2 linked regions of the Schizosaccharomyces pombe genome follow. The protein of the gene in region 2 interacts with the protein of the main gene of each other region in a pairwise test. Each region holds a gene or a part of one and is shown on either strand. Other genes may lie near its edges.

What was found.
Region 1: the proteins of dsk2 (region 2) and pga2 interact in a two-hybrid assay, tested with the Schizosaccharomyces pombe proteins (2 studies listed by BioGRID).

Annotation. Positions count from the first base shown.
Region 1 is NC_003423.3:1,560,614-1,564,106, forward strand, and holds pga2 (protein trafficking protein Pga2), read right to left. Parts: upstream 1,460-3,493; 5' UTR 1,423-1,459; coding exon 1,024-1,422; 3' UTR 713-1,023; downstream 1-712. Other genes in the region: app1 (actin cortical patch protein), read right to left, coding at 1-509; DASH complex subunit Ask1, read right to left, coding at 1,895-2,653, 2,732-2,879, 2,935-2,951; protein meu25, read left to right, coding at 3,289-3,493.
Region 2 is NC_003424.3:3,368,097-3,372,209, reverse strand, and holds dsk2 (UBA domain protein Dph1/Dsk2), read right to left. Parts: upstream 2,484-4,113; 5' UTR 2,468-2,483; coding exon 1,403-2,467; 3' UTR 826-1,402; downstream 1-825. Other genes in the region: rmt2 (N-methyltransferase), read left to right, coding at 1-801; nucleoporin Nsp1, read left to right, coding at 2,691-2,694, 2,761-4,113. UniProt on the Schizosaccharomyces pombe protein: Protects ubiquitin chains against dissambly by deubiquitinating enzymes thereby promoting protein degradation.

The sequences.
Region 1 (3,493 bases), on a different chromosome or scaffold from region 2:
GATATTCCATACCCCGATTGATACCAACTCCTTGAGGCAGACAATGAAGGGTTAGGTACATTCACGCCATTTCCCTGTAAGTCGTCGGGAGTCGTATGCAGGGACAAAGGTGGATCATTCTCAGTTTTAGAGGTTGATGATAATTCAATATCATTAGGCTTTCCATCATTCACGTTCACGTTCAATTGAGCTTTCGTGTCTACTACAACCTGCAAATTTGTGTTTTCGTCATCCTTTTCAGGATATGTTCCCGTTTCTTTGGATTTTGGAGGCAGACCGACATATCTACGAAGTAAATTCAACATTAAACGATCTTTACGACCAAGATTATTGAGATCAGGGTTCTCGTAAACCCAACCGCGAACATGAACTGATATGTGCTTGGGTTCACTACCGTACTCTTTACCAGTACTAATGAAACATTGAGGATAAATGGTTATTGAAGTCAAATCATTGATAGTAGGGCTCTCTTCAGAGCCCCTAAACAAACGTCCAAATGATCGAAACATGGACGGTAAGAGCCCACCCCGAAACGTAACATGTCAAGCTCAAAATAAGCAAATTTGAACCCATATGCATGCGTTAATAGCGTTTATCGTAATATTACCGCAAATACTTAAATTTTGTTAGAGCATTTAAGGATTATTTAGAATACGTAATATTTCAACTCAAAATACTGGAATGAGTGGGAAAGAAAAATAAATTGATCTAAACGCTGAAATTAAACCTAACAGGGGATTGATTAAAGCTTGGCTCACGAAAAGATATTATGACTTAAAAATGCAAGAAAAAGGAGAAACAATCAAAGGACTTTCGTTGATCTCGTAGGAAAAGAATGCACTCTCAAATTGCATTATTAATCCTACATTCAATTAATTAGCTTTTGCTTTCATCCATGCAGTCACGGTTTCAAGAGAAAAGGATATCAAATTTTCACAAAGAAATTAAAACAATGATTAACAAACTAAATGACACAAGTTTTCTAAAGTGCTTGGAGTAATGAATATTATCTCACAACTAGAATTAATCCTCAAGGTGCTCTTCGATGTCTTCATCATCATCAGCGTAAGCATCAAGAGGAGATTTGTCTTGATTCTTAAAGTATTCTTCACGTTGTTTGCGAATACGGCGGCGTGCTGAATAACCCCAACGGAATTCGGCATCAGGATTTTCTTCTTCTTCCTCATCATCCGTGTCAAATTCTCCATGTTCTTTGGGCTTCGTGCCATGCGTCATTTCCGGATCTAAAGTACCATCTACTTCGCCTTCTAATAAAGATTTTCTATGTTCTCTCTCCTGTATCTTGGCTCCCAACTTCATCAAATATGGCCGGATTAACATATATCCTCCAACATATACGATAATTCGAATCCAGTCCTTCAATGAATATGATTGTAAATAGCCTGCAACGTCAAACCCCATTTTCCTTGCACAAAAAAGAGTGGTGGATACTAAGTTCACCTGTCTGCTCAACCAGGCAAACTATTATTAACCAAGTCACTAAAATTCTTTAGACTTTTTTAGAATTTTTAAAACCTCGTTATTCGTCTTAACGTATATTCTCAATGATATGCTGTAAAAAGATTTATTAATTAGGCTATAATACTAATTTATTTAAAAATTTTATAGTTATTTGCTTTCTTAGTTTATTTTAAAATTATTTTCATACAAATTTTACTTGGTTTACAGTATTTATACCGTGACTTATGATTCTCTTAAAAGAAGAATTTTCCAAATTAAATAGAACGTACAGTAAATAAAAAATTATATAACATAAATATAAGGTGGGATTTTATGAAGTAGACATATGTGCTTAGAAAATAAATAGAAAAAATGCGAAAGTAAGGTTCACTACTAAAGGCGAAACGAAGGTGATAACTTCAGCAGTGCTTTATCAGAGTTCCCAACTATCTTCTTCTTTGACAAAACTATCATTAGAATCATTCAAGGTTTCTAATTTCCTCTGCAAAGACAGGCTTCGCTCGTTGGCTTGCTGAGAAGAACCCACCCCCATGGTATGCGGGCTGAATTGGATAGTTTTAGGTGGAGACATTCCACTTGGGTTAATGCTATCATAGCTTTCATGCTCAAATTCTGCAAATAAAGAAAGAGCATGCGAAGAGTTTCTATCGTTAAGTGAAGGCATGTCCATTTTCATTGATATGGGAGAAGGCGATACAAAAGGAGAAGAATCAATATCCATTACTTCTTGAGATTGCAAATTCTTAGGCTCACGTGGAGTCACTTGTACTTGCCAATTTGTATCTAAAACGCGATGCAGAAGGGCACTACGACCTGTATGAGGATTATTTTCTGGTTTTCTTAGCGGAGTCTGCATCCTTGCCGGGATGGGGGTCAAAGCTGCATCATCTAACGAAATATCCTCTAAGGAGACATCCATCTTCTTAGGAGTGGACTGTACAAAATCCTCGTTTTTTGTATTATCTCCTTGTACAGCTGCATCGGGAAAATCAGATTTTCCGACAAAAGAATGCCTCTTTTCCAAATGTTCATTCTTTGTGTGCAGCTGTAGGTCCGCCTCTGTAGAATTAGACATAACATCTTGATCGCTTGGATTGGATTCTACTGGAACAGGTTCCTCTACACCCGAAAGTGAAACATTGGCACTTGCTTCAAAAAACTGCTTCCAAAACTGTTTTCTGTTAGCTTAATTCTTAAAATAATACAAATTACAAGCTGAATCATGAGTGGCAGTTGCCATTGAACATACTTTTGAAGAGTCCCATATAGTGTTACAATTTTTTGCGTATTTTTCCACGATAGGCAAGATTTTGGTAGTCACTGTTCGATGACATTTAGAAAAATTTGCATCAATTTCGTAAAGTGCTAGAGTAATCGATTGTTCCAATCGTTCTAATCTAATTCTTTTGTTAGAGAATGTTTATCTACAGTCGCGACAAGTTTACTGCATACTGTTCCAAATTGTTCATAAGAATGACATCTAATACTCATAAAAACTTTGAAAATATTATTTCTTAGTATAGAAACTCTCAATGGTGAAATTTATGGCGAACTGCAACTGAGGTGTAGGTATACTAGCGTCCATTATTAGCGATGTTTCGTAAAGTAAACAAGTTAAATTGGCAATATACAGTGAGATTTTTGTAAGTTCAAGATAATACTAATACAATCATTGTTGAGTAATAAATATGAATTTTAAAGTTTTGTTTACTTTCCTCAGTGGACTAAATGCAGACTGCAATGATCAAATGATCCATAGTAAACAAACATTCAACTTGTCTTTTGCCAGCATCCTCAAGATCCAAAATGAGTAGTATCTTTGGAGAGAATATTGTTTCAGATAGTATAGTAAATATGGAGTTGACGAACCCTGATAATACTACGACTATGCATCCCATCTATGAAACTAACATTGAAAAGGAAGTCCAGCAGGAGTTTTCTGACAATGTCTCTGAAAAAGAAACGATTGACTCAACTAAAAGCAAAATATCTTTAGAAAATATACAGCAAG
Region 2 (4,113 bases):
GAAACTCCTGGATGCATTGCACGTCGTAGGAATTTATTGCGCTTGTACGAAACAATCGTGGATGCTGGAGTTCGATCAGAGCTATTACTTTCTCTCTTAGAGAGGAAGGAACTTACAAACGAACAATTGGATACTAACGAAAAATACTTGCAAAGTGCACTCTCCTATACGCAACCTACAGAAGACAGTTCAAGCCTTTTGGATAGTGATGCAAACGCTGTTATGATGAGTTGGGAACGAAAAATAATGCATCGTTCTGCTGAAATTATTGCACCAACCAAGGGCCGCCGTGTTTTGAATGTCGGCTTTGGTCTTGGAATAATAGATACGTTCCTTCAGGAAAAGGAGCCTTCGCTTCATGTGATCATTGAGCCCCATCCGGACGTTCTGAAACATATGCGTAAAAACGGTTGGATGGATCGTGAAAATGTGATTGTATATGAGACAACTTGGGAGAACGCTATTAACGACATTGCGTCTAAATACGTTTTCGATGGCATCTACTATGATGCTTTCGCAGAAAGCTACGAAGATCTTCGAAACTTCTTTGATTCAGTTGTTGGTCTCTTAGATCCTGAAACAGATTCCAAGTTCTCCTTTTTTAACGGATTGGGCGCCGACAACCAAACATTTTACGATGTTTACAAAAAATTGGTCCCCATCGATCTTGTATCGTTCGGGCTTCAATGTACATACGAATCCATGCCCGTAAGTAGTAAAGACGAGGAATGGAAAGGCGCAAAGCGTCGATACTGGGATGTTTCAAAGTATTTCTTGCCCATTGTCACTTTTGATTTTTAAACTTGCTGAACTATACGCTTGTCATCGGACGGAACTTTGGAATTTAGTTTTTGGGACTAAGGATAAACTATCTTAATACAATTTTGTCTATATCATTTTATTATTTGAAATTCAACTTTCATAAGCATAATTAAGTTGTAATGTTAAACAGACGTATTTTTCTTTTTTTTTAGTATCTTAAAACTGCTATCGTTTATTGAACATTATAAATCACTGAAGCGTAAGTAAACTGACAATTTAGAAAAAACTTATTTTTACACAACAAGTAAGCTTTCTATCTAGGAGAAGCATATATAGAATTCGTCATCGTACTTAAATTAAACGACTAAACATATTCATTCAAATCGATTAATATGATCATCGCGATAAAACAGAGTACGATGACTTTCCAGGTAAAGTCACTAAAAGTCTTGTTCAGGTAAATCTGGCAAAACTTGCAAGCATGGCATAATAATCTAAATATCACCAAAAGATTGGGCCGTATAAATTTTATTACAAAAGGAAAAAGGGAAGAGGGAAGTCTTGATACAAAGGGTATTATCCTTGAAATATATGAACACCAATAAGCCTGATTGATATATTCTAGAAACGAACAAAGGAATTAAAGATCACTCAACAAAGATTCAATAGCACCTTGCACGTTTCCTCCACTTCTTCTTAGTGCTTGAACGTTACGCTCGAAATCCACAAAGCCCATTTCATTAAGCTGGCTCAATTGCTCAGCATAACGCTCTTCTGGAGGGCGAGTATCTTGAGCAGGAGCTGGAGGAGAGGCAGCTCCCCCAAGGCCAGCTCCCAAACCGGCGTCTCCCAAACCAGCACCGAAGCCAGCTCCTCCCAAGTTATTTAATAAATTTTGAATGGTGTTGGCAGCAGCAGTTTGATCAACAGGTGCGGCACCTGCAATACCAGCTGTAGCATTATTAGCCCCTCCAAATCCACCTAAACCAGCTCCACCTAAACCGCCTAAGCCAGCTCCTCCTAGACCACCCCCCATTAAGGACATAGGGTCAATACCGGCAGCACCCATTTGTTGATGTAGTTGAGCCATTTGGCGCATTGTGTCGGGATCAGTCATCGCGCGACGGAACTCAGGGGACTGCATCATTTGACGGACATAAGGAGGTGCATTACGAAGATGCGGGCTGCTATTAATAATCATATCCAACATTTGAGGATTTGAAAACATCTCATTAATAGAAGACTGCACCATAGGATTAGACAACATATTGGCAAGCTCTTCGGTCGAGGGTGGAACAGGATTCTCAGGATTAGGACCAAACATAGATGCTGATGGCATAGGGATATTAAATCCAGCGTAACGAGCGCTAGTTAAATTGGCAAGAGGATTATTAGCACCCTGACCTGCTTGAATATTCGTTGGAACTTGTTGAGTGCGGTCCGATACATTCGTGGCGGCGGCTGCAGGATTTTGTCCTAAGGTTTTTACCAAATGTATACTATGTCCATCTTGAATTTTGTATGTTTTTAATGACTCTTCATCTTTCAGAACGCGACCAGCGTAAATCAGTCTTTGTCGTTCCTTCTCTATATCAGCTACAGGCGCAATGGCTTCCTTTAATGCAAGTACAGAAGATTCACTATCAACTGTAACTGCGTACTTTTGATCATTTGCCGCCTTAATAGTCAACGATATATTGGTCATGTTGTTGGGTTTGGTTAGGTATTTTCCACTCGTTCGATGACGCTCTTATGTAAAAGAAGTATCTTCGGTGAGCTTCAGTGGACCCTTTCTTCAGGTCCCAAAAACTCCGAATGGTGACCCAGTTCTCCGTTTTGGTTACCGACGTCTCCGAATTCACCGAGTTGTGACCGAACGCCATAAACATTTCACTGTCCTGATACAACTTTCAGCAAGACCCAAATCAATGTGTAAGTGTAAGAGGCGGCAAAGCTGGTCCCTTGGAATTTATTAAAATTTGCTAACAAAATCAATAGCTTTCAACCCAGGTAATAACCAGAATTCAGGGTTTTCATTTGGGAAACCTGCGCAGCCGAATTCAGCTGCGCAAGGAGCAGCAACTCCTGCGGCGACTGGCTTGTTTGGAAACACAAATAATAATACCTCTTCTACAGCGCCGTCTGGAGGCTTATTTGGTTCTAATAACGCGAGTAACACCAGTGCTCCCAGTACCTTTTCTTTTGGTAAAGCAGCGACTACAGGCAACTCAACAAATGCATCAACGAGTTCACCTTTTTCGTTTGGGTCTACTAATACCAACAATACTGCTGGGGCTAAACCTCTTTTCGGAGGTTTAGGAAGTACCGGGTCTGCTAACTCTACTGGTGATAAAAGTAAAAACACCGCTTCTTCTGCTACAGGTGCAGCAACTACTAATCCTTCAGGTAGTACTTTTAATTTTGGAAGTTCAAATAATTCTTTTAATTTCGGTAAACCCGCTTCTACGACTAATACGACGACTCCGGCAGCCGCTAGTACTGGTTCTTTGTTTGGGAAGCCTGCTGCTACAGGGACTACAAGCAATGCCCCTCCAGCTTCTTCTACTTCTACGACACCTGCTACTGGAAGCGGAGGTTTTAGCTTTGGAAAACCTGCTAGTTTAGGCTCTACTAATAATGCATCCACTTCAACCACTGCTAATTCAGGCTTTAGCTTCGGAAAGCCTGCAACTACTTCAGCTCCAGGATCTAACACTACTGTCACCCCCAGTAGCTCCATTACGGGAACCAATGACTCAAAGCCTGCTGCATCTAACACTGGTTCTGCTCCAACTACTGGTTTCTCTTTTGGTAAGCCTGCGGGCCAAGCAGCTTCAACCGCAACGGACAAAGGTACTACCACCACATCTTCAGCTGGTACTGGATTTAGTTTTGGAAAACCTGCAACTACAGAGGATACTAATAAACCTACTGCTCCCAACTCAGCTTTTACAAAACCGGCTACTTCAACTGGTGATAATAAGCCAACATTTTCTTTTGGAAACACTTCAAAACCTACGGAAAATACTAGCACAACAGCAACTTCAGCTCCGCCACTTTCGAACAATACGAAACCTGCAGAAGGTGCGAATCAGACTAGCTCTGGATTTTCATTTGGTAAACCTGCAACTGATACTACAACATCTACTTCAAAAACCGGTCCCCTTTTTGGTAATAAACCTGCCGATCCCAGCGCCAAGCCGGGCGCTACTGCCTCCACTACTCCTTCTGAGCCTCCTCCATCTTCTATCAAACACAAAACTCTTCAGGAAATCCTTAATAAATGGTCTACTGATTTGACTACGCAAACTGAAGTTTTTAATAAGCTTTGTGACCAGGTTTCTGACTGGG